Linked DNA regions of Pelodiscus sinensis. The protein of the gene in region 2 purifies or fractionates together with the protein of the main gene of each other region. This does not show direct contact. Links are inferred from orthologs where the notes say so. Each region holds a gene or a part of one and is shown on either strand. Other genes may lie near its edges.

Evidence for each region.
Region 1: the proteins of SNRPA1 (region 2) and SF3A1 purify together in Homo sapiens (affinity purification with mass spectrometry; 6 studies listed by BioGRID and IntAct, counting the BioPlex papers as one, with this or other methods). This does not show direct contact. The link is inferred for Pelodiscus sinensis from reciprocal best matches to the Homo sapiens genes SNRPA1 and SF3A1.
Region 3: the proteins of SNRPA1 (region 2) and DDX46 purify together in Homo sapiens (affinity purification with mass spectrometry; 3 studies listed by BioGRID and IntAct, counting the BioPlex papers as one, with this or other methods). This does not show direct contact. The link is inferred for Pelodiscus sinensis from reciprocal best matches to the Homo sapiens genes SNRPA1 and DDX46.
Region 4: the proteins of SNRPA1 (region 2) and SF3B6 purify together in Homo sapiens (affinity purification with mass spectrometry; 5 studies listed by BioGRID and IntAct, with this or other methods). This does not show direct contact. The link is inferred for Pelodiscus sinensis from reciprocal best matches to the Homo sapiens genes SNRPA1 and SF3B6.

The regions. Positions count from the first base shown.
Region 1 is NW_027465935.1:507,815-515,775, forward strand, and holds the start of SF3A1 (splicing factor 3A subunit 1), read right to left. Parts: upstream 3,011-7,961; 5' UTR 2,914-3,010; coding exon 2,851-2,913; intron 1-2,850. Other genes in the region: CCDC157 (coiled-coil domain-containing protein 157), read left to right, coding at 3,720-3,722, 5,041-5,312, 7,457-7,628. UniProt on the Homo sapiens protein: Component of the 17S U2 SnRNP complex of the spliceosome, a large ribonucleoprotein complex that removes introns from transcribed pre-mRNAs.
Region 2 is NC_134724.1:7,056,977-7,064,005, forward strand, and holds the start of SNRPA1 (U2 small nuclear ribonucleoprotein A'), read left to right. Parts: upstream 1-4,028; 5' UTR 4,029-4,130; coding exon 4,131-4,212; intron 4,213-6,239; coding exon 6,240-6,387; intron 6,388-7,029. UniProt on the Homo sapiens protein: Involved in pre-mRNA splicing as component of the spliceosome. Associated with sn-RNP U2, where it contributes to the binding of stem loop IV of U2 snRNA.
Region 3 is NC_134727.1:28,815,035-28,822,907, forward strand, and holds the start of DDX46 (putative ATP-dependent RNA helicase DDX46), read left to right. Parts: upstream 1-4,863; 5' UTR 4,864-5,006; coding exon 5,007-5,023; intron 5,024-7,743; coding exon 7,744-7,873. UniProt on the Homo sapiens protein: Component of the 17S U2 SnRNP complex of the spliceosome, a large ribonucleoprotein complex that removes introns from transcribed pre-mRNAs.
Region 4 is NC_134713.1:14,462,953-14,470,284, forward strand, and holds the start of SF3B6 (splicing factor 3B subunit 6), read left to right. Parts: upstream 1-4,325; 5' UTR 4,326-4,456; coding exon 4,457-4,486; intron 4,487-7,332. Other genes in the region: PFN4 (profilin-4), read left to right, coding at 1,298-1,326.

The DNA.
Region 1 (7,961 bases), on a different chromosome or scaffold from region 2:
GCATCTAAAGCTTTATACTGCAGAGTCGGCAGTGCGTAACTGCCGAGATATTCATGGTTATCTAATTAACTGCTTTTTTGAATTCATCCTTTGCCCCAGGTGCACAGCACCCCCTAGCGGGGGCCAGGTGACAGAGGGATCAATAGTACGCACACACACCGTGGTCAGTGCCCCTCTGGAGAAAACTAGAGCGCTGGGACAAACACTTGGGTGGCTTTAAGACCGACCCGGATCTGTTTATTCATGAGGTATGACATTGCCCGCATTGGCATATCGCCAGCCTACGACTCTCCAATGGCCAGAGCCAGGCCGCTAGATGACTGCACGCCCGGGGCAGCCGCGCCAGGATCGCGCGCCCGGGGCAGAGAATGCTCTCCCAGCGGCTGGCGGGGCGGTTACCCCAGTGTTTCGAAACCAGTGGTATGAGTCCCTTTAGGGCAATGGTTCCCAAACTTTTCGGCATCACCACCCTGTTTTTGATTTTTGAGAAACCCTCCCACTCACCCACCCCGCAGCAGAACTTGAGCGAAAAGAAAAGAAAAGAAAAGAAAAGAAAAGAAAAGAAAAGAAAAGAAAAGAAAAGAAAAGAAAAAGAAAACTGACCTGGCCGAAAAACAAAAATAGCAGCAAAACTTAGGGGGGGGAGGAGTTGATGGGCCCCCCCCACCACGGAATTTCTTCACGCCCCCCAGTTTGGGAAGCCCGGACTTAGGGGGTACTTGAGAGAAGTCTGGGGGTACGTCACCACCGACATTTGGAGAAAACGGAATTCGGGTTTTCAGTTTGACAGCGCTTGATTCGTTTTGCCCTTTTTACACCCAAAAACGTCATCGCCCGCCCGGCGCCGATGACGTTGTTGCAACAAATGTGTTGCAATGGTGGGGGGGAAAAAAGTGTGTCCCCCCTGAAAATGTTTAGTTTTTTTTAAAGGGATACTTTATGGAGAAAGGTTGAGAAACACAGATTTAACCCACGTGCTCAGGAACTCCCAGAGGTCCCAAAAGTGGGGGGCACGTCCCTGTACTGGGGCACAGGGGGAACCTACAGGCCAGGCCAGCACAGAAGGACCGCTTCCCCCCCAACCCCTTCCTGCCCCCCAGATCTGTTCTGGACCCAGATCTGCTGTGTCCCTGGCCCCCCTGGCCTTGGCAGCTCCGCTCCGAGCCCTGCCCAGGCCCGACCTGTGGGTCTGCCCCCCCCCCCTGCGCCTGTGAGAGGGGGGTCTGGATCTGCCCCCCCCGTGCCTGTGGGGGGGGGGTCTGGATCTGCCCCCCCCCCCGTGCCTGTGGGGGGGGGTCTGGATCTGCCCCCCCCGTGCCTGTGAGGGGGGGGGTCTGGATCTGCCCCCCCCCGTGCCTGTGAGGGGGGGGTCTGGATCTGCCCCCCCCCCGTGCCTGTGAGGGGGGGGGTCTGGATCTGCCTCCCCCCGTGCCTGTGAGGGGGGGTCTGGATCTGCCCCCCCCGTGCCTGAGGGGGGTCTGGATCTGCCCCCCCCGTGCCTGAGGGGGGTCTGGATCTGCCCCCCCCGTGCCTGAGGGGGGTCTGGATCTGCCCCCCCGTGCCTGAGGGGGGTCTGGATCTGCCCCCCCCGTGCCTGAGGGGGGTCTGGATCTGCCCCCCCCCCGTGCCTGTGAGGGGGGTCTGGATCTGCCCCCCCCCCGTGCCTGTGAGGGGGGTCTGGATCTGCCCCCCCCCGTGCCTGTGAGGGGGGGTCTGGATCTGCCCCCCCCTGCCTGTGAAGGGGGGGGTCTGGATCTGCCCCCCCCGTGCCTGTGAAGGGGGGGTCTGGATCTGCCCCCCCCGTGCCTGTGAAGGGGGGGTCTGGATCTGCCCCCCCCGGTGCCTGTGAGGGGGGGTCTGGATCTGCCCCCCCCCGTGCCTGTGAAGGGGGGGTCTGGATCTGCCCCCCCCGGTGCCTGTGAGGGGGGGTCTGGATCTGCCCCCCCCGTGCCTGTGAAGGGGGGGGTCTGGATCTGCCCCCCCCGTGCCTGTGAAGGGGGGGTCTGGATCTGCCCCCCCCGTGCCTGTGAAGGGGGGGTCTGGATCTGCCCCCCCCGTGCCTGTGAAGGGGGGGTCTGGATCTGCCCCCCCCGTGCCTGTGAAGGGGGGGTCTGGATCTGCCCCCCCCGTGCCTGTGAAGGGGGGTCTGGATCTGCCCCCCCCGTGCCTGTGAAGGGGGGTCTGGATCTGCCCCCCCCGTGCCTGTGAAGGGGGGGTCTGGATCTGCCCCCCCCGTGCCTGTGAAGGGGGGGTCTGGATCTGCCCCCCCCGGTGCCTGTGAGGGGGGGTCTGGATCTGCCCCCCCCGTGCCTGTGAAGGGGGGGGTCTGGATCTGCCCCCCCCGTGCCTGTGAAGGGGGGGGTCTGGATCTGCCCCCCCCGTGCCTGTGAAGGGGGGGTCTGGATCTGCCCCCCCCGTGCCTGTGAAGGGGGGGTCTGGATCTGCCCCCCCCGTGCCTGTGAAGGGGGGTCTGGATCTGCCCCCCCCGTGCCTGTGAAGGGGGGTCTGGATCTGCCCCCCCCGTGCCTGTGAAGGGGGGTCTGGATCTGCCCCCCCCGTGCCTGTGAAGGGGGGGTCTGGATCTGCCCCCCCCGTGCCTGTGAAGGGGGGGTCTGGATCTGCCCCCCCCGGTGCCTGTGAGGGGGGGTCTGGATCTGCCCCCCCCGGTGCCTGTGAGGGGGGGTCTGGATCTGACGGGCATGCGCGGGGGGGGCAGATCCAGACCCCCCCCCCAGGCGCGGAGGGCGGGGCCGGGCGCGCCGCGCTCGGGTCACCCTCCCAGCATGCACCGCGCCCCGGGGCCTGCCCGCGCGGGGGGGGGGGAGGGTGCGGGCCCGGCCCGGCCGGTACCTGTTTGGGCTCGGGGGGCGCTGGCTGCGCGGGCGGCAGCGCCTGCACCGGCCCGGCCGGCATGGCGCCTCCTCAGCGGCCTGGCCTGGGGCGACGGGAGCGAGCGGCCGGCGGACACCGACCCAAAATGGCGGCCGCTGCGCGCGCTGCCTCGCCCTGCGTAGCGGCTGCGCGCGCAGCCCAGGGGGACTGTTCTACTCCGGGATTAGGGGGGGGTGTCCGCTGGGCGGCGATACCAGTGGGGTGGGGGCAGCCACGCAGAGCCTGCGCGCGCAGCCCAGGGGGACTGTTCTACTCCGGGATTAGGGGGGTGTCCGCTGGGCGGCGATACCAGTGGGGTGGGGGGAGCCACGCAGAGCCTGCGCGCGCAGCCCAGGGGGACTGTTCTACTCCGGGATTATGGGGGTATCCGCTGGGCGGCGATACCAGTGGGGTGGGGGCAGCCACGCAGAGCCTGCGCGCGCAGCCCAGGGGGACTGTTCTACTCCGGGATTAGGGGGGTGTCCGCTGGGCGGCGATACCAGTGGGGTGGGGGCAGCCACGCAGAGCCTGCGCGCGCAGCCCAGGGGGACTGTTCTACTCCGGAACTGGGGGGGTGTCCGCTGGGCGGCGATACCAGTGGGGTGGGGGGGAGCCACGCAGTGGGTGCGCGCGCAGCCCGCCGGGCTTGCCTCACTGTGAGGGAGCCAACTCGGAATATTCCACTGAGAGAACGGGGAGGGGGGGAGCGCTTCTCTCGTGACGCCCTACTGGGGGAAACCAAACCCGTGAAAGACGAGCAGAATAGTTGAGGAGGGGCTGGCCTTCCGTGGGGCAGGCCCACTCGGGGGAGAGGGAGCCGGAAGCGCGGCGAACAGTTTCCGGCGCAGATGGTTCGTTCCGCCCGGTTGCCGTGGTAACGAGGCGCGCGGCCACGGGGGCGCGAAGGATCCGCTCCGAGCCGGGGGGGCGGAGGCTCGGCAGGTGGGTCCCGCCCCAGCGCCCGTATCCCCGGGGTCCCACCCCCGCTCGGGCGGCGCGGCCTGGCTCGGGGCCTCAGCCCCCGCCGGGTGGGCAGTACCATGCGCGGGGGGAGGGGGGGCTGAGGTCGCCATGGTTTCGGGGCGCCGGGAGCGCGCGAGAGGCACGGAGCATGCGCAGTAGCCCTGCTGACGCCGCTGCCCTTCGCTCTGCCCGCGCTTGGCTCCCCCGTCCTCCAGGGGGCGGTGCTGCGCAGGGGAAGAAAATGGACTGTTCCACGCGGGGGGAGGGGGGTGTAAAGCAGCGGAGTGCCCCCCCTTGGATTGGATGGTTCTGTCCGCTGAACAGCTGCCAGCTGAGTTAGCTGCTGTGGGGCCGGGGGAGGCTGGGATCAGAGTGGGGGGCGGGGCTGGGATCTGGGGGGGAGGCTGGGATCAGAGTGGGGGGCGGGGCTGGGATCTGGGGGGGAGGCTGGGATCAGAGTGGGGGGCGGGGCTGGGATCTGGGGGGGAGGCTGGGATCAGAGTGGGGGGCGGAGCTGGGATCTGGGGGGGAGGCTGGGATCAGAGTGGGGGGCGGAGCTGGGATCTGGGGGGGAGGCTGGGATCAGAGTGGGGGGTGGAGCTGGGATCTGGGGGGGAGGCTGGGATCAGAGTGGGGGGTGGAGCTGGGATCTGGGGGGGGAGGCTGGGATCAGAGTGGGGGGCAGGGCTGGGATCTGGGGGGAGGCTGGGATCAGAGTGGGGGGCAGGGCTGGGATCTGGGGGGGAGGCTGGAATCAGAGTGGGGGGCGGAGCTGGGATCTGGGGGGGAGGCTGGGATCAGAGTGGGGGGCGGGGCTGGGATTGGGGGGTAGGCTGGGATCAGTGTGGGGGGTGGGGCTGGGATCGGGGGGGAGGCTGGGATCAGAGTGGGGGGCGGGGCTGGGATTGGGGGGTAGGCTGGGATCAGTGTGGGGGGTGGGGCTGGGATCGGGGGGGGAGGCTGGGATCAGAGTGGGGCGGAGCTGGGATCGGGGTGGGAGGGGAGGCTGGGATCAGAGTGGGGATGGAGCTGGGATCAGGGGCGGGGAGGCCCCATGTCTGGCTGGGCTGGTGCTCGTGCAGCACACGCGTCCCTCGTGCACACGTGTGCCGGGCCAGGGGCACGGCCTGTCGTGCACCCACAGCCGTAAAACACCTGCCCCCCTTTCCCTAGGGGCCCAGCTAGTGAATCTGTCCCCTCCTGCAGATCTGCCCCTCCTGCCCGGTCCGAATGGCGCACCTGCTGGGCGATCCGAACTGCATGGAGAGCTTGAGGAAGGACCTCACCGACCTACAAGGAGCCATCGTCGACGTTTTCTCCCGGGCGGGAGCCGCGCGCTATCCCTCCTGGAAGTTCCCCAATAAAGTGTCCTGCGAGCTGGATCTGGTGGCTTTGCTGGAGCAGTATGACTATGTGGAGAACGACCCTGAATTTACCCAGCATTCCCATGTCGTGCTCCTGGAACTAGTGATTGACAGGTGCGAGGATGAAAGAACTGTTCATGTCCTGGGCTGGGTTCCCTAGGGAGGAGGTGGAGTCTCCGTCCCTAGAGGTGTTTAAGTCCCGGCTTGACCAAGCCCTGGCTGGGTTGATTGAGTTGGGGTTGGTCCTGCTTTGGGCAGGGGGCTGGACTTGATGACCTCCTGAGGCCGGGGTGGCCAACCCATTGAACAAAGAGAGCCGAATCAGCGGCGGAAATAACACGAAGAGCCGCACCAAAATTAAGCCAAAAAAAAAAAAAGTCACTGCCCCTTGAAAAAACACAGACTTAGTCTTTTTAGGACACATCAGGCTGCTTTTGCCGAAAAACTTGCCAGTCTAGACACAGCCCTTGCTAATTAGCATAGCCTGGAGCCTTGCTAATTAGCATAGCCTGGAGCCTTGCTAATTAGCATAGCCTGGAGCCTTGCTAATTAGCATAGCCATTGGCTGAGCATTCCTGGCCACAGAGAATTTTCCAGCATCCCTACAGAGTACATGCTTATAACTCCACATACAGATATCATACAAGTACATGAATAGCACATACAGAATCAGTAGAACAGAAGCTTTCATGAGACACCTCACATGGTTCCCTTTGGGGCAACCTCCCCCCCCACCCAAGGGTGCAGCAGTGATCTGGCTGCTCCCGTTAAAATCCAGTGAGGTGACACGCACTTTAAGGGGGAAAGAGCTGCACGAGGCTCACAAGCCATGGATTGGCCACGCGTGTCTTGAAGGGCTCGTCCAACCCTAGGATTCTACGGTTAAAAGACTGGCCCGGGAACAGCCCCAATTCCAGAAATGCCTGTTGGGAAAACACTACGGCTGCATCTAGACAGGCATGATTTTCCGCAAATGCTTTTCCCGGAAAAGGTTTTCCGTGAAAAGCATTTGCGGAAAAGAGCATCTAGATTGGCACGGACGCTTTTCCGCAAAAGCACTTTTTGTGGAAAAGCGTCCGTGCCAATCTAGACGCGGTTTTGCGCAAGAAAGCCCCGATCGCCATTTTCGCCAGCGGGGCTTTTTTGCGCAAAACAATACCCCATTATCTACACTGGCCCTCTTGCGCAGAAGCATTTGAACATGAGATCGTCAGCGTTCTTGCGGAAATTCAAGCGGCCAGTGTAGACAGCTGGCAAGCTTTTCCGCAAAAGCGGAAAATGTGGAAAAACTTGCCCGTCTAGACGCAGCCTACGGTCGTACAGACCATGTAGCTGCGTCTGGCGTGTTAGAGTCACGTGAATCTGGAACAGTCCCCTACGATCCCCTGGTGGATCACGAACCCCATGGTTGTAGCACCATGGGAACATCCTGAAACTGACCAATATGAAGTCCCTGTGGCAGTGAAATTGATCGGTGTTTGAACTCAGAGGAATGTTGCTCTAGCCCCACAGCTGGGGACATGCACCCATGCCTGTCCAGCCCTGCCTCATTTCTACCCCAAAACAGTCTCATGGGTTCCCAAACTGGGAAACGTGGCCCCCAGAGGGGGGGGGGGCGTGAAGAAATTCCAGTGGAAGGTGAGATGGCCCAGCTCCCCCCCCCATCATTCTCCCTCCAAGAAAGAGCCCAGTCCATCCATCCGCTCGGGCAGACTTCAAAATGGCCGCCTTAAAAGGGCAATGCCTGCTCTACTCTTAAAAAGGTCAATTTTTTTTTTTTAACTCAACAAGTTTTGGTGCTATTCTTGGGGGCACAGGGGAGGGCGTGAGGGTTTCTCAAAACTCAAAAAGGGGGCGTGATGCCGAAAAGTTTGGGAACCACTGGTAGGGTTTGCCCGTCATTCCCCCTCCAAGAAAGAGCCCAGTCCGTCCCTCTGCTTGGGCAGACTTCAAAATGGCCGCCTTAAAAGGGCAATGCCTGCTCTACTCTTAAAAAGGTCTTTCTTTTTTTTTCTTCTTTTTTACTCAACAAGTCTTGGTGCTATTTTTGGAGCGTGGGAAAGGGCGTGAGGGTTTCTCAAAAATCAAAAAGGGGGCGTGATGCTGAAAAGTTTGGGAACCACTGGCAGGATTTACCACTGTTTGGTTTGCCCGACACCAACCCTGGGCCCCCTTAGATGATCCCCTAACTTGCAGGGCAGTCGTGAAAAAGCCCACTGCCGCTCAAAGTCGTGTTGTGTTTCCGCCCCCCAAAAAAGGCTGCTGTTACTGCTGCAGAGCTTCACAGGCTACGTGGAGACTCTCCTCAGCGACCAAGCCGTGCCCCCTTCCCGGGCCGTGGGACCCTGCATGTCTGTTGGGCTGGCGGTGAGGAAGTACTGGAACGGCCTGCTGAAACTGGGAGCGCTTTGTCAGCAACGAGGGACGGAGGTAGGACGTCCCCAAGCACCGCTGGGGGCGGTGCTTCAGGGCAGCGGGGGCGTGTCTATGGCCCGTTGTTTGATCCAGCGCGCAGCACATCTGGAAGCGCCGAACCTTGCGGTGCGTGTTTTTTGGGGGGTTTTTTTTGCCTGTGTGTGGCTCCCCCGTCTGATTTTTTTCAGTGGACCCCGATCAGAAAAATGGTCCCCGCCCCCTTTATATCGGTTCTGCGAAACCAATGAGGGGCCGAACCGTCCGTGATCAGATCACGTTTCGACGCGTGAGCTTCGAGTAAGCTCACCTGAGGGTGTGATGCCGAAAGGCTTGGGACCCACTGGCTAC
Region 2 (7,029 bases):
GCTCACCATGCCACGAGTCAAGAGCCACTCCAGCCCAGCTAGGCCCACCATGCCACAGGTGAAGGACTACTCCAGCCTGGCCAGGCCTGCTGTGCCATTCCACAGGTGGGGGTCACTCTAACATGGCCAGGCCCACTGCAGCTCGGCTGGGCTCACCACACTGCAGGTCAAGAGCCACTCCAGCTTGGCTAGGCTCACGGTGCCACAGGTGAAGAACCACTCCTGCCTGGCCAGGCCTGCTGTGCCATACCATGGGCAGGAGGCCATTTAAGTGGTTAACTGATTAAACAGGATTTTACATCCCTATATCACAGTACTAGTTCATGGTCAATTGGTTATCCATCATGACACCCAAGTCCTTTCCTACACCACTGCTTTCCAAAATACAATTCCAAAATCCATTTCCCTGTATAAGATAAATGTTTGCCCATCCTCATTTTGCAGGCTGAGAAACTCAGTTTTGGAGAACTCACCTTAAGACACTTTGGAGTTATTCTATGCGGTAAAAGTTCTTACACCACACTTATAAAGTCTGAGCACCATCCATAAAGCATTAGGCAACCTGACTAATATATGTCCTGTTTGTTCTCCCATCGGGGCCAAGTGTATGCAGTGGAGTGTTTGTTTTTCTGGATTCTTATATACACATCTGTCTATATGTTTGTTACAGCAATGCACATGGTGAAGTTGGTGATTAGTGTCTGGAGGAATTCACTCTATAGTTTTGTGCGGGCTCTCAAGAAAGCTCTGTCTATGGGTGTGTCTAGACTACTGAGTTTTGTCGACAAAAGTCCACTTTTGTCGACAAAACTATACCAGCGTCTACACTACCGATGAGTTCTGTCGACATAACGTCGACAGAACTCAGCAGTTTTGTCGACGCTGGTATACCTCATTTTACGAGGCATAACACCTTCTGTCGACAGAGTTCTGTCGACAGAAGGTGTTATTGCCTGTAGGGTTGCGTCTAGACTACAGGGTTCTGTCGACAAAGCAGCTTGCTTTTTCGACAGAACTCAATGTGTCTGGACGCTCTTTGTCGACAGAAGTTTTGTCAACAGATACTGTCGACAAAACTTCTGTCGACAAAACCTGGTAGTCTAGACGTACCCTATGTCTACACTACAAGGTTTTTGCGCAAAACAATACAGTACATTGACAGGAGAGAGGGCTTTTGCCGGTAGAGTTATTCCTCTCCCCATGAGGAATAACTCCTTTTTGCGCTACAGCTCTTGTGCCAAAAGGCACGTGTGGATGCTCCACAGAGGTTTCTTGAGCAAAAAGAGCCTATCAGAAAAAGCACGGGTGCTCTGGTGGCCATTCTGTTAATGGCAATCAGAGCTTTCTTGTGCCAGATCATCCATGCAGTGTGGATGCTCTCTTGCGCAAAAGCACATTGCTTTTGCAGTGTGCTTTTGAGGTGTGGATGTGTTTTTGCACAAGAAGTTTTTGCGGAAGATCTCTTCCACAAAAAGCTTCTTGTGCAAAAACCCTGCAGTGTAGACAAAGACTCTGTGTCCTGTATTTCAGGATAATTTTACAAAGTGCTGATCATCTACAACTTCTACTGAAGTCAACAAGAGGTTCAGCTGCTCAACCCCTCATGCCACTCTCAGGTTGGACACCTAAAAACTAAGCCACACAGTCCAGATGGCCATTGTTCATCATGTTGTTGCCCATAACTTAGCCAAGTTCACACAGCAAAACCTGTAACTGGTTGGGAGAGTCCAAACCTTCTCAGCTCCATGTCTGCAATTTAGCCACAGTCAAAGCTTTCACACCTCCCCAATGATGTGAAACTCCCCCGATGGATTCTGTGGGTTTTCAGCCCTCCCTCCTGGATGTTTTAATTTGCTGTTTCTTCAAGGCTCATTCCTTCTTCTAGCTCTCTTCCTTCCTCCCTGCCTCTGCAGCACAGGGCTGGCTAGTGCTAACTGAGCCACACAAAGACAGCATCACTAGCTGCCTTAGGATGGGACCATATGTTGGATTAGTCCTTAATCAGAATGTTCATCTTATTTGAAAGAAGCCCCAGTGTAATGAATCTACCACGAAAATAAAGACCAAGAATCTTGAATTTCTGGGCTTTCATTGACTAATTATTGGGACTTCAAAGACAGCACTGACAAAATGAAATGCTCTGCGCACTACCTGTCCCTTCTGCTCTCATCTATCCACTCATAGACTCATAGACTCATAGACTCCAAGGTCAGAAGGGACCACTATGATCATCCAGTCTGACCCCCCACACAGTGCAGGCCACAAAATCTCACCCACCCCTCCTAGAATAATCCTCTCACCTATATCTCAGATATTGAAGCCTTCAAATACTTTGAAGACCCCAAGATGCAGAGATCCTCTAGCTGTGATCTGTACCCCATGCTCCCTCAGCTTGGCTTCTGCTGACATCATTTGGGCTGCTTTTGATGGAATAGGTCCATCAATGCCTATTAACCAGGATGGGTAGGAATAGTGTCCCTAGACTCTGTTTATCAGAGGCTAGGAATGGGTGACGGGGAGGGATCACTTGATGATACCCTGTTCTGTTCAATCCTTCTGGGGCATCTGGCATTGGCCACTGTAGAAAACTGGGCTGGACGGACCTTTTGTCTAACATAGTACGGCCGTTCTTATGTACATTACAAAAATAAAGGCTATTTAGGGAGGTGAGATTTTAGGAGGGAGGAAATAAGGAAGGAAAATAAAGTAGCTTTTATGGATTAGGTGTGGCTACCTGGTTATATCCATGAGTTTATATGTAAGATGCCCCTGTCTCTATACTGGTTATTTCCTCTTTGTGAGCACAAAACTTTACACTTAACAGGACAAAATCTTGCCTCCTATCCTGTATTCCCCACTGAGCTCATTTCTCCATCTCCGTTTGCAGTTTGGTTCGCTTGACTGGCCTATTTTCCACACCTCCAATTTTAAAGATCATCTGTAAAATTGGTCATTGTTGCATTTACAGGAAAGACACCTGACAAAAAAATACACAATGCATCCTCAGGAGTTCAGATGACTGTGTATTGAATGTGGTGGGCCAAAAAAGACTTCTGGAAATCTAATCAGGATGCAGGCCTACAGGTGGCCCTCCTAGGCACTACTTCTGCAGAAAGCCTGATTGACAGAACCAGCTCAGACGGCTTTCAGGGAAAGTCATACAGAGCAGAGCTGTGCAGGGAGCATGATTAGCAGAGCGCTATGGCTATGGCCCTGTGGCTCTGATTGTTGTCTGTTTTGTGTGCATTGATTCTTTGGCAAACCTTCCCCCCTCGCTCCTCCTCTGTTCTTAAATCTGAAGCGTCAGTTTTATATGTGTTCACTTTTTTTTTAATTGTATCCTTTGGTATATAGGGTCATGCCAATTTTCTTCCACAATTTGATCTGAGGAAGTGGGTCTGGCCCACGAAAGCTCATCCCCTAATAAACCATCTTGTGAGTCTTTAAAGTGCTGCACAGTCCTGTCTTGTGTTTCCCCAGCTCTCACATTTCACTGGTGTGACTTGAAATTACAATCAGAGAGCAGAGCTCCCGTCTCCTTCCGCCTACTGTTAATCACAGCAGCACCTTGCACTGACCAGGGCCCCCACAGAGCCCCGTGTCCCTGCCTTACGAGGGGCACCTCATAGACTTTAAGGTCAGAAGGGACCATTATGATCATCTAGTCTGAGTGCTTTTGCGGAAAAGCATCCTGCCAATCTAGACGCGATTTTTCCAAAAATGCTTTTAACGGAAAACTTTTCCATTAAAAGCATTTTCGGAAAATCATGCCCGTGTAGACGTAGCCGATATCTAGTTTAATCTTGAAGCCAGATCGATCTTTTGCCCCCACTACTGCCCTTCTATGCACCTGCCCCACAGAGTGCAGGGGGAGCTGGCTGTATGGGCAGTGGAAGGGGGGAGCTGACCCTGTGGCTGGGGGAAGGGCAGGTGTGTCTGGGGGGGGGGGGGAACTCCTCGCTGAAGGGCGGGGGAAGCCGCCTCCGTCGCTATGGCGCCGGGAGGCGGGGCCAAGAGGCGGCGCTCCGAGGCTCGGCGCTCGGCCGCTCGGCCTGTGCCGCTCGGGGTCTCGGCGCTCGGCTCGCTCGGCGCTGTAGGCCCGGCGGGACGCGTGCGGGGCGCGCGGCAGGATGGTGAAGCTCACGGCGGAGCTGATCGAGCAGGCGGCGCAGTACACCAACGCCGTGCGCGACCGCGAGCTGGATCTGCGCGGTGAGGCCCGCCCGGGAGCCGCGCGCCGGGGAGGGGCCTCGGGTCGCGGCCGAGCGTGGGGTGGGCCGGGTGTGTGTGGGGGGGCGGGAGCGTGGGTCAGGTGGGGGGGTGGGTCAGGTGTGGGGCGAGGGCACGGGGGGTGGGTCAGGCGGGGGGCGGGAGTATGTGGGGGGTGGGTCAGGTGTGGGGCGGGGGCGGGAGTATGTGGGGGGATGGGTCAGGTGTGGGGCGGGGGCGGGAGTATGTGGGGGGGTGGGTCAGGTGTGGGGCGGGGGCGGGAGTATGTGGGGGATGGGTCAGGTGTGGGGCGGGGGCGGGAGTATGTGGGGGGGTGGGTCAGGTGGGGGGCGGGAGTGTGGGGCGGAGGCACGGGGGGGTGGGTCAGGCGGGGGGCGGGAGTATGTGGGGGGATGGGTCAGGTGTGGGGCGGGAGCGGGAGTATGTGGGGGGATGGATCAGGTGTGGGGCGGGAGTATGTGGGGGGGTGGGTCAGGTGTGGGGTGGGGACGGGAGTGTGTGGGGCGGGAGTATGTGGGGGGTGGGTCAGGTGTGGGGCGGGAGTATGTGGGGGGAGTTGTAGCGGGGCGGGTTTTGTGCTGACAATTTTACATCTTGGGTACCTGGCTAATGGCCTAGTCCAGGGGTTCCCAAACTGGGGGTGTGTGCAGAAATTCCAGGGGGCCGTGCGAAGTGACCCAGCCGCCCCCGCCAGTCAAGTTTTGCTGCCCTGTTCAGTTTTTTTCCCCCCTCAACAAGTTTTACTGCTATTTGGAGGGGGTGCGTGAGGGTTTTTCAAAAATCAAAAAGGGGGGCGTGATGCCAAAAAGTTTGGGAACCACTGGCCTAGTCGATACAATTAGTCGATAGGGCGGGTGTGCAGAGCCGCAGCGGGGATCACACCGGGAGCCGGCTGCAGCTGAGACGGAGTAGTCCTGGCTCGTGCCAGCTCCAGGAGCCACCTGTGCTGCAACTCTGCGTGTTAAATGTGGCAAGAGCTGCTGGGCTGTTGCTCCATTTAAAATGCAGAGGCGCAGTATCGGACCAGCACAAGTTGGGACTGCTCGGGCCTGCCTGGTGCTGAATCCAGCAGCCTCTGTTGGAGGTGAACGGCCCTGGTTCTCATAGAGGCTGTGGAGTGGGGTGGAGGGAGGCGGGGCACGACACAGCAGGGTGCACTGGGTGCATAGGGACTCAGGCAGTCCCCACTCGCCCTGTGTTCCCACTGCGGCGCTATGGGGCTCTTGCTACATTTCACAGGCTGAAGTGCCGCAGTGGGAGCCAGGGTGAGTGCGACTCCTTCAGTCCCTACTCGTGCTGTTTCCCCACCGTGTTTCTGCCCCCCAGAGATGGTGCTGTGAGGAACCAGCTTTTAAGCCAGCTCCCCCCAACACCAGCTCCTACTTTGCTGCCCCCCCCTCCACTGCCTCTCCTAGAGGCAGCAAGTGGGGGGGAATTGAAGCCAGTTTGCCTCAGCACCATTCTCTGCGGGGGGGTGGGGGGCAGGTGAGGTAGAGGCACAGCGGGAAACGGTAGAATCTCTGCTCACACCACTTCTGCTGCAATTCTGTTTTTGAAATGGCTCAGATGCTGCAGTGTGTGCAGGGCCAGCGGGTGAGTGCTCTGGTCCAGCGCTCCCTGGTGGGCTTCCGCTTTTGAACTGGACTCTTGCTTCAGTTCAAAGGCAAAGGCACCCTTATAAACTAATCAAATAGTAGATGGAAATCCCATCAACTATTCAATTAATTAATTAATCTAAATTTAACATCCCTAATCACTACTTGACTACCTGATAAGCTTTTTGCTTATTGGATACTCAACTAGTTGCTGACATCCCTAGCTTGTGCTGGGGTGGAAGAGTGGGGGAAGTAGGGAGGCTTCACTCTGGATTCATGAGGGAGACAGTGATGTCACATGCTGCTTCTAACCTGGGAATCCTGCATCCCTTGTTGAATGGCCCAACTCCACCCCAATGCCCCCTTTCCTCCCCCCCGACTCTATTTAACCTTGGTCTGACGCTTTCCCCGCAGGGTACAAAATCCCCGTCATTGAGAACCTGGGTGCCACCTTGGACCAATTCGATGCCATTGATTTCTCCGACAATGAGATCCGCAAGTTGGATGGGTTCCCTCTGCTGAAGAGGCTGAAAACGTTACTGATGAATAACAACAGGATATGGTAGGTGGCACGTGGAAGCTTTCAGCATTGGCTGTTTGCTTGTATCATTGCAGTTCTGCAACTTACATACGATCAGGGCTTGACAAGTGGCAGCGAGCCCCTGTTTGGCGCACTGCGCATGCGCAGACCGTGCTACGCATACGCTGATTGTGCTGCAGCGCCGTGCCAGGCTAAAATCTACTCGCCATGGGCGAGTAGATTGCCGTAATTGTCGAGCTCTGCATATGATCATTGATTTGTTTTAATGGAAGAATGCAGCATGTTACAGTTATGGAGAACCATTGTAGTTTGCTTCATTTTCAGTGTGCTTTATGAGCACCAATCCTTTTAAATCCTGGATAACGTCAATAAATATTATCCTCATTTTATGGACAGGAAAACCAAGGCTTGGGCTTTGTGATTTGGTCAAGTGTGCCGAGATTCAGTAGTTTTTTGTTTATCATTCCTACATTCAGATCAGTGAAAAATGTAAACATGATCAGGAAGTTTGGGACAGTGGTAAGTGAGGGTACAAGTCAGAGGTAATTACAGGAACAAAATAAAGATTTAAACTGTTTTACTTGATGCAAGGTGAATGATTCCCAAACCAAGTGACCCCTTGTACATGTATTGCATTTGAGGGTTAAAATGTGTCTGCAGGTT
Region 3 (7,873 bases), on a different chromosome or scaffold from region 2:
TGTCGAAGTCTTCATCCCTTCTGCATAACTTCTTATAGTCATGACTTATTTCAAGTTAGGAAACAGTAATGAGACAAGTAAGCAAAAAAAAATCCTGTTGTCTTACTAATATCATTCTTCTAGAAGTAATATAAATTGTTAGTTTCACAATGTTTCCCTGACCATTTGGCAGCTCTTGAATCTATCTTGTTATCCTAACCCTAGTTTTACCCATGCTTTCATCTCAACCCTTGATTACAAGTTCACTTTATACAGTGAAAGCTGCACCCAAGAAGCCCATGCCTCAAACAGTGCTCCGAATGTATCATACATGTCTGTGCTCTTTTGGTGAATCATGAATTAACCCTGGGCTATGTATGTTTGTTTTCTGTTTTCTTACATAAACTTTGACTATGTATGTATTTTTCTGTATTTCTATCCTTTTGTTTATTACTGAAGACATTTGCCTATAAACAGAATAACAGCATACCAGAACCTTTGGATGTTGACTGACTTGCTTGTTCCTTTGTTCTACACTGTTTTGAAGGCCCTCCAAATAAATCACAATAGCTGTACTTATTGAGATTTTAAGTACTGAAACAGACAATGGAAAAAATGCTCTTCTCTCCATGTTTTGAGTTTGTTTCCACATAAAGATGAGTGTGTGAGGGGGGGAACTGATACCTATTATGGAGCAGGTGTAAAACCAGACAGGAGGGATTTAGGAGGCTGCCAGGCAGATACATTTTATTCTCTCTTTAGAGAGAAGTAGCTAGCTGTAGTTTTACTTTCAATCCCACAAAAAAGAGACATATTGAGAGGAAGGAATGGATTATCTGAAGTGTATTACGAGCTAGTCTCCCCTTCGTACTGGCCATCTTCAATGATTTCTGCTGCATTTGAACCTGCTGAATTTCACCATGTAGCTTATCTGCTTACTATTCAAGGTGTAAGATGAAATCCAACAATACTGGTTTTTCAGTTTGGAAGGATCAGTAGTTTTATTGGTGCTTGTCTACAGTAATTTTTTAGTTAGGAAGCAAAACTATCTGGCTATATGCCTGTGAAGTAAACAAGACTTTTTTTCTGCCCAGTTTTTCTCAGCTAAAATTATTTGCTTTATAATTTTAATTCTGCATTTCTGAGCCAATTGTTATATATGTCTGTGGCACAACAAAGAATCTTGTGTTCTGATTTTACACTATATTCAGTTCTTTTGGATTACCATCATTTTTGTTGGGCAGCCAGTTGTAGACATTTAGAGTTAGACTGTAAACTATTGCAATTTAGATCTGAGTGTACAAATGCAGTTTGCAATGCTAGTTTAGCCATGCTGGTCCCAAGATATTAGAGAGAGACAAAGTGGGTGAGAGAATATCTTTTATTGGACCAACTTTTTTGGTGGAAGAGGCTTTGGGTAGCTTGAAAGCTTGTCTCTTTCACCAACAAAATTTGGTCCAATAAAAGAGATTACCTTGTCTCGGCACAAATGTAGACATGTTAAAAGGTTCAATCAGAATACTAGAAAAGCATATTGATATACAGATTATTATTCTTTATTCATTCTACTTCTTTTGCATTCCTATCACTTGGAAATGATTTAAGACGGATTTTTTTTCCACAGGTCGCAGAAGGAATATTGCTCTGGGCTGGTCTATAGTACTGCAAGGGATGAATCTAAGTTGCACAATTTTAGCTACGTTAATAGTGTAGCTGAAGTAGACATACTTATATCTACTTATTGCAGTGTCTTCACTGTGCTGTGTCTACTGGAGACACTCTCCTGTCACCTCTCCTTTCACTTCTCATTGAAGTGGAATGCCAGAGTCAACAGGAGAGTGATTGGTGGTCATTTTATCGCGTCTATACTAGATACAGTAAATCAACCCCTGCTGTGTTCTTCACAACCCCATTGAACCAGCCTGTAGTGAAGACATGGCTTCTGACTCTTAATATGGAAATGTTGACTCAGAAGAGAAGACTTTTGTCCGACTTATAGGGTATGTCTAGACTGCATCCCTCTGTTGGCAGAGGGATGCAGATTAAGCAGGTGGACATTGCAAATGAAGCAGGGATTTAAATATCCCGTGCCTAATTTGCATAAAAATGGCCACCACGTTTTGCTGACAGCACTTTGTCAGCAAAAAGTGGCAGTCTAGAGGGGGATCTGTCTAGAAAGAAAGCCTTTTTCGACAGATCCCTTATGCCTCCTGCAAGGAGGTTTACAGGATCTGTCGAAAAAGGCTTTCTTTTTTGACAGATCCTCCTTTAGACTGCCACTTTTTGCTGACAAAGTGCTGTCAGCAAAACGTGGTGGCCATTTTTATGCAAATTAGGCACGGGATATTTAAATCCCTGCTTCATTTGCAATGTCGACCTGCTTAATCTGCATCCCTCTGCCGACAGAGGGATGCAGTCTAGACATACCCATAATGCTGCCAAGTGAAATGTAGAACTGATAGGGCAAACGTTTATAAGATGAAGTTCTTTCATTCATTGGCCAAGGATGAATTCAGTTTCCATGATGTCATTTTCTGTGTTCATGTACACAATTCTGTTTAATGTTTCCGTATTTCTACACTGGTTGTTTTCTGTTAAGTGCATTAAAGTTATGCTTGTTACCGCCTTCTCTTATGGCTTGACTGTGCTTGGGAAGACATCCTTTTTATTAATCTCATGATTTGTTAATATTCTAAACAAGTTCCCAGTTCTATAAGGAAAATCAAAAAGAGCTAAATTTCACAGTCCTACATTAGTAAACTGTTTAATTTGAGCACAAGAGCCAAAAATTCTTTAGCTGTAATCCCAGCTCAGATACTAACTCCCTCTGTTGCTTTCATTGAGTATTTGAATGACCTTGCCTCAGTTTTCCCATCTGTGGAATGGGGGGAGAAAGAGAACCCAACTCTGCAAACTGTGTTTGTACAGGTATCCCAATTACATTAATAAGCCCACAGCAGATATCAACTACTTGCCTGAGTAATGGTTTGTAGGGGGAAACTTATGGTTACTTATAGGATATTGTATAGATTAATATATTTATAAACTCTGTAAAGATTGCAAACTCTGTAAATGCTAAGTATTGTTTGGGGCTAATTGTACATAAATGTACATGTGTTAGATTACAGTACATGAGGTTAGTACACAGATTACCGAGTAAACAAAATTGGTGTTCATTACATGTATATGAATTTATTTAAAAAGTAATCTGAATTGATTGCATGAGCAAAACCTAAATTTGAATGCGACTGAATAATCTCAATGTATAAATGTTTGCGTACTTAGAGGTGAATCTTCCTAATTCCAATATTTTTTTTCAAAACTTTCTGCATTTATAAACACTTCTTTGTTAATTGATATCTTAGGCCTGTTGCATGTGAAGGGTTTTTATGTTTGTACCAGGTGTATCACATGCAGCTGTAAGTGGCTGGCTGTGTTAGTTTAGATTCATATTTTGCTCTGTAAAACAGATTTATCTTCAGTAGTAATTTAAAATTACTTTTAATACATAAATAAAAATTCTAATCTGTATCTCTACAGCCTTACTGTGAATGCACAGGACTGATCAAGTGCCTTGCTTTAGTTCTCATAATATAATTATTACTATAGTAAAACTTTGGTTATTATAACTTTTACCTGTAAAAAGTAGCACTAGCAGAGGGAAAAAATTGGCAATTTTCAAGTGCAGTTTTCATTGGGCTAACTAATTTTGAGTTAATTTTAGTTCCTATAGTGTTCAAAATATAATTTTTTATTTACATGCACAAAATAACAGGTATTTTAATCTGGGCTAGTAATGGGTGTGATACAATTTCAGTCCTTTATCTAGAGCAAATGTTTTTTGGTTTCAGACCATAGCAAAGAAATAGAGAGGGAAGTCATAATTGGGTCCCTTTAGTCTATTCAAGTGAAAATGCTCTATAATTATTCTCTAGCATGTTGAGAGATGCTTTACCCTTTAGCTTTAAATATTCTGAAAAAATTGGCTACTTTTACCTTTCACTCTTTGGGGTGATATTTGTGCAGTCTAAGAATACAGAATTCAGATTACTTGTAATTGTATTGCATTTTTCCAAGTTAGACTATTCTAAATGATAGCTCTTCTGGGCGTTTACACTTTTTCATTTATTTTTAGGTAAGTACAGCTTCCTTTCCCACACTACACTCTAATAACTTTATCAACACTATACCTTTTAACTCAATATTCCCTTAATTGTAGGGTTGACTAAAGCTATATCCATATTTGAATAGTCCAATATCCATGTTTGGATAGCTCTCTGGCCATGCTGTTGGGGTTGCGTAGGGTTGGCATTTTTCTCCACGGGCGAGAATAAACCGTGGTAGAACAGGCTTTCGTAAAAGGTAATAGAGATGTAGCCGCGGAGGCCGCTAGCACAGGTCATAGTAGGAGAGGGGAACACCACCTGTGCTAGGCTCGAGTGCTCTTGGACGTTAAGCCCTCGGGACTTATAAGGGATAATTATTGTGGGATGAGGAATGAAGATGAGGACGCTCCTCTCTCATTCCACCCCTGGCAGCGCAGAGCCGGAGCAGACACTCCCATTTCCCCGCTCGCTGCAAAGGGGGCGAGTCACCAGCGGCGTTTGCGCTATGGCTGCCGATGAGAAACGTGACCGGTGCAGCCCACACCCGAGCCCGCTTGGAGCTGTTGCTCCGAATCCCAGCTGCCTCCGCGAAGGACTTTGGCCGGGGCCGCGGGCTCGTCGGAGGTCTGAGCGCCGTGGCAGCGAGCGATACTGCTGCTGCTGCAGCTCGGTGCGAGAAGGAGCTTTGCCGGTGCAGGAGCGCTCCGCGTACCCTCACTGGCGCGGGGCTTAAGGGGGCCCTGCCCGCCTCCAGCCGCCAGGGGGCGCTGTAGCCCTCGGCCGGCCCCTGTCGGCTCCGCTCTGCAGCGCTCCTCGCCTTGGTCACCGCGCTACGGGCCCGTAATGGCGGCAGCTGCGTAGCGGTTCCTGGGTCTCGCTCAATCCCACAGGCCGCCGCTGCTCCGCGCGCTTGGGGCAGCCATGGGCCGAGAGTCCAGGTGAGGCGGCGGGAGCGGCCCTGCCGCTGTCAGAGCTGGGGGTGGGGAGGAGGAGGAGGGGCCGCGTTGAGGGGAGGCTCGCCTGGGCGCAAGGCCCGAAGGCGCGGGCGAGCGGGCTCCCTCCGGATGGTGCGTGAGGGAGGGCCGCGCGGCAGGGCAGAGCCGGCCGTTGCCGAGGCTGTGGGGGTAGCGACGGAGACCTCCCCACACCCCTGCCCGTTTCCCAGCGGGGCGGCCTCGCACGGCTGTTCCGCCTGCGGCCCGGCCGAGGCCCGAGTGGCGAGCTCGCCCTGCTGCTGTGTCGATTGTTCGGCGCCCCAGCTCGGCCCAGGCCCCTGTTTCTAATGCTTCCCGCTCCCGGCTCAGATGCTCCTCAGACTCCGGCTATATATTTATAAATATATTCCTCCCCCCCCCCCCCCCCCCCAAACAAGCAAGCTACGGGGCTGCCTTGGTTTCTAGCCCTACGGGCGGGAGGAGGGGTACAAAGTGCTGGCTCGTGCACCCAAACGATGGGTAACACTGTTGGGATTCAAACCCATCAACGTCTCTGAATGGCTTGTGCTGATTTTTAACGTCCTTGAAGTGCATCATCTCTGTAAATGCAGAGACCCTAATGGAGACACGGCACTGCTGTTTTTGTTTTGCTGTAGCTCAGGGCTATTCAACTGTGGAAGCCCCTGGGGGCCACAATGATACTCTCAGCACATGCTGAGGGCCGTACCTGAAGAGTGGTGGCATATATATGCAAATATCTTCTTTCACACTGATGGGCATGAACAGGGCTTGCCAAGTGGCGGTGAACCCCGCTCGCCAGCTGTGCGGTTCTGCACATGTGCAGATTGCTCTGCGCCGGCTCTTCCGGGATGTAATCTGCTCGCCACTGGCATGACACTGGACCCAAACATGGCCAGTGTAAGCCAGTCAGCACCTCTCAGGCTCTCCTCACAAGGCTAAGCAGCCAGCACTTCCCACAATACTTCTGCATTCCTGGCATCTCCTTCCTGGGGACTAGAAATGCCAACACCCTGTACCTATCTGTTCCAGCCAACCTGTCCACTTGCGTCTTTCAGTGTTCACCCTGCCTGGGAGACATGTCGCCTTTGTGGAGCATGTTCCCAGTGGGGGGTGTAGCTGGTGAAGGTTAGTCCAAATGGCAGAGGTCGGAAGGAATATAGATCTGACATTTTGACTTGCTATACTATCAAGACAAAAACTACCTGTGGTACCTCTACTAGGATTTTATAGAAGTAGCTCTTATGTTGTCATGAGCGCACCTTCCTCCCTCCCCCCCCCCCTTCTTTTTCTTCAGTGAAGACAAACCCACACTCTGGAATCCAGCAGGGGTGTACGAGTGGAACTGTTTGAATGGTTAACCGATAAGCATTACCCGGGCTCCTTGTGGCGCTGCCACTTTGAAGTACCCTCTCCTCTCTTCTCCCTCCTCCCCCCCCCCCATCAGATAGAGGCAGCAAGCAGGAGGATTGACTAGTGGACTGGACTAGTCCTTAACATCCTTACTCCCATGTACCATCTCCCAGCCCTGCTCCCAGGGAGTCAGATGCTGCTCCACACTGCAAGCGATGATACAGAGCCAGCAGCAAGGGGTGGCAGCTGGCTCCCTGGGAGCGGGCTGGGAGCCATTGTGAAACATTTACAGTAACTGAGGGTTAACCATTTAAATGGTTATACTGTTATATCCCTATTTTATGAGGGGAGCACTTGCTCCAGCTAAGATCCAGGCTCCATTGCAAATTACACAAATGTCTGCCGAGATAGTCTCTTTCCCAGAGACTTTACAGTCTAAGACAGAACTGAGAAGAGGTTGGAAGGGAATAGAGAGGGACAAAGAGGTGAAGAAGTTACTTGCTCAAGGTGACACAGCAGACACAGTGTATCTACAGAGTACCCTTAGCTCAAAATAAGCTACGCAATTTGTGCTACGCATATTGCGTAGCTTATTTTGATGCTATTTCAAAATAGCGTATTTTGTAATTTGGTGCTGTCTACACAGTGCCAAATTTCAAAATAACTCGCTATTTCAAAATTCCCCTTAACCATTGGGATGCCAGAATAAGCCGCCCATTATTTCGAAATCTATTTCGAAATAACAGGCTCCTTCAATAAATGCAGAGTAGCTATTTAGAGAGACTTCTGGTATCCCTAAATAGCTCCACAGTGTAGATGTACCCTAACATAGCTGTGAATAAAATTTAAGTCTCCTGATTCTCAATCTAGTGCCCTTTCCATTACGCCACACAGGCTCACATTTGTACACAATCTTTTGACTGGCGTTTGATAGTATCTCTGTGGAACTGAGCTATAAACTGAGGCAGACTGTCTGAGACTTTTTTAAATGCAGTTTTAATCTTTTTCCTGCACATAAAATTGATGTTGCTCAATAGTAAACCCCTCCTGAGATTATGATGCTATCACAAAAAGCTTGACTTTTGTAGTGAAGCCTCATTAGGATTATTTCAATGATATATAGCAAATAATCCAGCTATCTTCAATATCTCAATAGGGGACATGTGTGTGTGTGTACTAATTCCGTTATGCAAGACCAGGGAAGACTTCTGTAATCTTAAAACAAAAACAAAAAAACCTCCTTGCCCTTCCTTTTTATGGTTTTTGTTCTAAATGTGATTTCAGTACCTATAATCTGCAAAGTGTTCTCCTTTACATCTTTACTTTTTTATTGTAAATGTGCAATTACATAGGCATTATCGGAAGCGCTCCACATCACGTGGACGATCTGGTAGCCGTTCTAGAAGTCGATCTCCATCTGACAAAAGAGCAAAACGTGGAGAAGACAGACGATCTAGAAGTAGAGATCGAGAACGCAGGCGT
Region 4 (7,332 bases), on a different chromosome or scaffold from region 2:
GGAGAATTCTTCTATCAGTCTAGCTACTGTTTCTCCAGAATATGGATTACTAATGCCAATGGGAGACTCCCTCCCAGAATCCCATCAGCATAGGTAACGTCTACACTGAAACACTACAGTGGCTCAGCTATGATGCTGTAATATTTTAATGAAGCCAAGCCCACAGAGTATGCTTGTTTTGCAATCATAGCTGTGATTGCAGCTGGAGTAGATATATCAAGTGGCAACAATGTGTGCTTCAGGATGGGCTGTACAAACTTGCCCAGAACCATGGATAACTACTCGCAGACTTCTGTGCTGAAACCTGAATTGCTACAGCTTCACTTCTAGCTAAATTAAAGCTAGTACATCCAGGTGTGTCCCCTCAAGCTATAGTCACATCTGAGATTGCAGTGTAGACTTAGCTTGTGTTTGCTAGGTCAGATTCTTAGGCTATGTCTACACAGCAACATTATTTCAAAATAACTAACATTATTTCGAAATAACATAGTCTGCGTCTACACAGCTAGAAGTTATTTCAATATAATGTCAAAATACTGTCAAGCTGGAGGACTTCTTACTCCAACTCCTGTAACCCTCATTTTATAAGGAGTAAGAGAAGTCAGAGGAAGAATGCTCTATTTTGAAATAAGTGCTTATAGACAGTACCAGAACTTGAAATAAGCTATTTTGAAATAAGCTATGCAATTGATGTCACTCATTTTGTGTATCTTATTTCAAATTAAACCCTGCTGTGTAGACACACCCTTAGGGATTTGGCGGCCGAGGGTGGGGATTGGCCTGCCCTTTTGTTATTATGTTTAATCTTTTCCTCCAGAGAAAACAAAGTAGCATTATGTAATTCCAGGAGAGATTTCTGCATATGATTATCTTTAAAGTTTTTGCAGTTCGCTGATCTGAAGGAGCAGTATTTAGGGTTCTTAAGGCCACAAACTTATATAATAAAGATTCTGTTTATTTCAAATGACACACTGAAGCTATATTTGGAGTTGCTAATACTCAATAACTATAGGTATTCCAATATTTTATGTATTCAGATGCAAATGCTAATATGTGAGCTAGATTATGATGCCTTTCATTCAATTATAGTACATTCCAGTATTGTATTCTGGAAAGAACGAACTCTGAAAAGGATGTGGAGGTTATAGTAAACAAGTAACTTAACATCAGCTCCCAGTGTCATGCTGGGGCAAAAAAGGGCTAATGTGATTCTTGTGGCAATTGTATGTCTTTAAACTGGAGCATTTCCATTATTGTAAATATTTTAAAAGAAAATGTTTTGTTTTTCCCCCCATAGCGGAATATTTCAGAGATAAGGAAAACTGAATCTGAAAACAACTTAAAATTGATCAAGCTTATGAAGACTGGTGCGTTAGAAGACCAGTTTGTAATGAAGTACATCTAAGCAAGCAAAACAATATCCATTATTCTGCAATATTCTAAGCTTTTTTGATTTCTCTAAAAGCTTTACTGTTGCCTTTCATTAAATATTCCATTTCTTCTAATGCCTGCTCAGGGTATTCAGTGCCCCTGTACATGTAAAAATGAAATAATTTATACCTGCAAGACAGAGGGAATGGTACCTTGGCACCCCTGAGTCTTTTGGCTTCTTCCCTTCTTTGACCATCTGTACTCTGAAACTGTTACCTCTTAGATAGTCCCGGAGGGAGGGACTTCCAACACTCCAGTCATCTGAAGAAGTGGGTTGTGCCCATGAAAGGTCATGATACTATGTACATGTTTTGTTAATCTTTAAGTTGCTACTAGACTATTTGTTTGTTTGTTTTAATTTTTCCTGTTACAGACTAACTTGGCTACCCCTCTGAAGCTTTAGGATGCATAAGGATCTTGTGCAAAATGGGGGGGTTTGTGCCAAAAAAAACCCCATCCACACTTGCTTCTTTTTGTGCAAAAAGCCCTTGTGCAAAAAGAAAGGGCAGAAAATATGCTAATGAGATTGTGACTTATGCTAATGAGTCCCTCATTAGCACATTTTCTGCCGGAAGAACTCACAGTGAAGACGTAGCCATCAAGTAAGCTCCCTTTATCAATGAAAGAGAGATAAGCACAGTGGTTGTTCTCTCCAGGTAACAATTATATACACTGGGCCAGATAGTAAACAAAAGTTGTTTATTAAGTATAAAGAGTAGGATTTAAATGGTGCAAGTGAAAACAGCCAGATCAAAGTAAGGTACTACATTTAAATGAAAAGATATAGCTAGTTCTAATTCACCAAGAAACTTATTGCACGTACACTCTTACCCTAAAGAGATGCTCTTATTTTAGGCATAATCTTCAAGTCAATGACAAATTCTTTTTCTCATACTTGGGTCCCCAGCCCTTTTTTGGGGAGTGCCAGGCAGTAGACAAAAGGGAATTGCTTCCCATTTCTTAAATTGACTTTTCCTCAGGGTATCCACTCTTCCCATGGAAAAAATCCAGGTTCAGAATGGATTTCCAGTACCAGGTGTCAAGGTTACAGGTCTTTCTAGTCCAACCGCCTTTGCACTTACAGGACAAGCCAGGCTTTTTACAAACCATTGAGTTGATCACTAGTCATTAGGCTTCCAGGGCACTAGAAACAGCTCTCATTAGCACATATAAAACTATAAATAGACTCACACTTCATATTTCTAAGTTCACATACAAGAATGATGCGTGTACCAATTTAGGATATACAGATCCAGCAGAGTATAACATTAAAATTGATAGATTAAATGATGTATTTTGTGGAGAGTAATGGCAGCAAGCGGCAGCACTGAGAAGAAAATCCTGGAGGGGAGGGAAGTGTATAAATCAAGAGGAGTTTAGTTTCCTTGATGTCAATCAACAACAGCAGCTAGGACAAAACTTCTAACCCAGTTCAGAAAGGGTTGAATGTTGGGAAGTTAGTTAGAAGTGAACTGAAGTAAGATACACATTTCTCTAGTCTCAGACTGGCATGTATGGTTCTTTATGCTGTTTTGAACAGTGCTGTGGTAAGAACTGATGGGTTATCATACTTACACAAAACCTAAGATGGATTAAACAAAAGACAGAACTATGTAGCACTTTAAAGACTAACAAGATGGTTTATTAGGTGATGAGCTTTCGTGGGCCAAACCCACTTCCTCAGATCAATATGTGGAAGAAAATCGGCACAACCATATATACCAAAGTGATACAATCAAAAAAATGAACGCATGTGAAATTGACAAATCAAATTTTAGAATAGAGTGAGGGTGAGGGGGGAAGGTTAGTTTCTGTGAGGTAATGACATAAGGGTGATAATTGGGGAAGCTATCTTTGTAATGGGTGAGATAATTAGAGTCTTTGTTTAAACCCATACATAAAGTGTCAACTTTAAGCATGAAAGACAATTCTGAAGCTTCTCATTGAAGTCTGGAGTTAAAGTCTCTTTGAAGCACTATGCATGTTTTAAGGTTATTAAAGGAATGATCAGTCTGGCTGAAATGGCAAGCAACAGCTTTCTCTCTGTGAGAGAGTCTTATGTCTGTTTTGTGTGCATTGATTCTTTGGCGAAGTGTCTGAGCCGTCTGTCCAATGTACATAGCAGACAGACACTTTAGGCACATGATGGCATAAATTATATTTCTGAATGAACAGGAATATGTGTTCTTGATCTTGTAACTGGCATGGTTAGGCATGATCTTGTAACTGGCATGCCCTAAGTGCAATGTGCGATCAACGCCCCTGGCTGCACGGCCGTCAATGGAGTGATATCATCGGGCACCCCGTTGAAGGGGGCGCCCTAGGTGACGGCCGAGTCGGCCTATAATCACGGGTCACCCCTGGGGAGGAACCATGGGGTGGAATGGCACGAGTGGGTCAGGTGTTGGGGGGGAGGAGCACTGGAGGAGGGTACGATGGGGAGGGGGGCACTAGTGAGCTGGGTAGGAGCAGTGAGGGGAAGCCAGGAGGAGTGGGCCGCACGTCTCCAGGCTAGGGCGCTGTTGCTAAGGGCGCTTGCAGGCCGAGCCAGCACAGGCGGTGCCGAGCGAACTAGCAGCGCTTAGCGCGGCTGCAGAGGGAGCACGCGGCTCCCCCCTCGCGTGGCCTGGCTTTGCGCGGGGTCACTTCCGTAACGCCCGGAGGAAAAAACTGCCCGGGCCGCATCGGCCTCCCTGCGCGTGGACGCGGGAAACACGCGCGGACCCCGCCCCCGCAGGTTGCCCCGCCCCCGTTCTAACTAACGGCACCGCCACTGGGGGAGCGGCCTCTGCAGGAGGCAGTTATCATCGCCCCGCAAACGGCAAAGTCACATGACTCCCCTCGTCACTTCCCGCCCCCAACTGTCAGGTTTGTTTCCTCTCATCCGGTTAGCACTCGTCACTTCCTGCGCGCGGGCTGAGCCCGCGGTGCAGGCTGGGATAGCATCCGGGCCTGCCCCCCCTGTTGGAGACGGACGCGTCCGTTGTTTCCCGGCTAGGCGAAGGCCCCCGACCCGCCCGGCACCATGGCGATGCAAGCGGCTAAGCGCGCCAACGTGAGTGGGGGGCGGGGGGGGAAGTGTCGCTGACCTGTCCGGCGCCCAGACCGTCTCCCTCCGCGGTTCGGCCCCGCGCGGATCAGCTCCGACCGGGGGCGGCGGAGGGGCCGGGTTCGTGGCGCCGCGGCGGGGCGATTTGTTCCGGGCGTGACTCGCCCGTGCAGCGCCTCGTGCAGCCTAACCCGGGGCCGCCACAGCACTTCCGCCGCCTGCGGGGCCCTTCGACCTAGTCCGACTTGCCCGTCACGGCCCTTCGGGTCTCCCCCAGTTACCCTCCTATCGCGACACTGCGGGGGAGAGCACAGCACTAGCTAGCGGAGAGGTGCTGCTCGGGCACAGAGGCAGAGACTTTAAATGACCCCTCGAAAGCCCCAAGTCAGAGCCTCCAGACTGGACATTTTGCCAGAGAAATTTTGGAGCAGGTCAGTGGAAATGAGCAAAGGGTCGAAAAAGATCCCAAATTGCGCTCGTTGACTTGAGCACCATCTGTTTAGCCTTAATAAAGGCAAAGTGAAGGGGTGATTTAAGCCACAGAGTGTAAGCACCCCGAAGGGGAACAAATATTTGATACTAGGCTCTTTAGTGTAACAAGCAAAGGGAAACCAACTATACAACCATTGGCTCTTAAACTTGCCAAATTTGGGGCTGTGCTGCCCTAGAAGCGTTATAGTGGTGCAGCTGCACCAAAGCAGCATTTTTAGTGAATAGGCTCTGTGCGACTAGGAGAGAGCTTTCCCATTGACATCATTACCCCACCTTCTTGAAAAGTAAGTAGCTGTGTTGGTGGGAGGGCACTTCTTGCCAACAGTGCTGTGTTGGTGTAATTGGTCTCTCTTGGGGGTGGCTTTTTCACTCCCCTGAACAACATAAAAATATATCAACACAAGCAGTAGTGTAGACCTGCCCTCAGACTTGAATGCTGGAATAGTGTAGCACAGATTGTGATGGCTTCTCCATGGGTACATCTACCCTGCAGGGCTTAATTTGAAATAAGCTATGCAAATTGAGCAATTTATTTCAAAATAGGGAGCATCTACACAGCACTTATTTCAAAATAGAGCACACTTCCTCCAATTTCCCTTATTCCTCTTACAAGGAGGGTTACTGGAGTTGGAGTAAGAAGTCCTCCTCCAGCTTTACAGTATTTTGACACTATTTTGAAATTACTGCCTACTGTGTAGATGCAGACTAAGTTATTTTGGAATAGAGCTAGTTATTTCAAAATAGTGTTGCAGTGTAGACGTACCCCATCAGTAGCCATTTTAAAATTAAGACTGGATAGTTTCCTAGAAGGTATGCTCTAGTTCAGATAGGACTTAATGGGGACATTCTATGAGCTGTGTTTTGTGGGAGGTCAGATTAGATTATCATAGTAGTCCCTTGTGACTCCAGTCTCTGTTAATCTACGTATACTTCTAGACCATAGGGTCTCAAAATGTAGTCTGTGATCAGAGGCACCAAATTCCCCAGTTTCCATGGTGGGCTCAATCCCCACTGTGCCCCAATCCTCCTCCCCCACTCCACCTCTTCCTGCAAGTCCCCAGCTCTTCCTGCCCCATCCCTCCTCTGAGTGCACCCCTCCTGCTCCTCACCCCCCTCCCCAGCACCTCATACACACCACTGAACAGATTTTGGAGGATGGGAAGGGGAGGAACACCCACTTTTTTCTTGAGTGGGTGATCTGGGGGCTGGGATTGGTGCCTATGTCTGTAGTCCACAAAGAGCTGGCTGGTCACCATGTGCTACTCTCCTGGTTTCCAGCTATTAAATTACATTAAAATAGAACTACAAGTACAGGCAGTCCCCGGGTTACGTACAAGATAGGGACTATAGGTTTGTTCTTAAGTTGAATCTGAATGTAAGTCGGAACTGGCGTCCAGATTCAGCCGCTGCTGAAACTGATCAGTTTCAACAGTGGCTGAATCTGGACGCCAGTTCTGACTTACATACAGATTCAACTTAAGAACCCCAGGCATCCCCAAGTCAGCCGCTGCTGAAACTGACCAGCAGCTGATTCCAGGAAGCCCCGGGCAGGGGCTTCCTGTAGTCAGCCACTGGTCAGTTTCAGCAGCGGCTGACTTGGGGACGCCTGGGGCAGAGCAGCTGGGGTGCTGCTGGGTTGGTCCAGTAGCGCCGCCGCGTGACCAACCCAGCAGCACCCAAGCTGCTCTGCCCCAGGTGTCCTGATTCAGCCACTGCTGAAACTGACCAGCAGTGTCTGAATCAGGACGCCTGGGGCAGAGCAGCTGGGGTGCTGCTGGGTTGGTCCCGTAGTGCCCAGAGCGGCGCTACGGGACCAACCGGCAGCGCCCCAGCTGCTGTACCACAGGCGTCCGTAGCAAAGCCGCGGAGCACGGGGGCAGCGGGACAGCCCAGATGCGCCGTGGCTGTCCTGCTGCCCTCGGGCTCCGCGGCTTTGCTCTGCTTTGCTCCCCGTCCCCCTGGTCTGCAGACCAGGGGGATGGGGAGCAAAGTGGCAGAACACGCGGGCAGCGGTCAGCCCAGACGCATCTGGGCTGTCCGCTGCCCGCGTGCTCCGGGGCTTTGCTCTGTTTTGCTCCCCGTCCCCCTGGTCTGCGTCTGCAGACCAGGGGGATGGGGAGCAAAGTGGCAGAACACGCGGGCAGCGGTCAGCCCAGACGCATCTGGGCTGTCCGCCGCCCGCGTGCTCCGCGGCTGTGCTCTGCTTTGCTCCCCGTCCCCCTGCCAGGGGGAGCGGGAGCAAAGCAGAGCAAAGCGGCGGAAGACGCGGGCGGCGGGCAGCCCAGACGCGTCTGGGCTGCCCGCTGCCCGCGTCTTCCGCCGCTTTGCTCCCCGTCCCCCTGGTCTGCAGACCAGGGGGA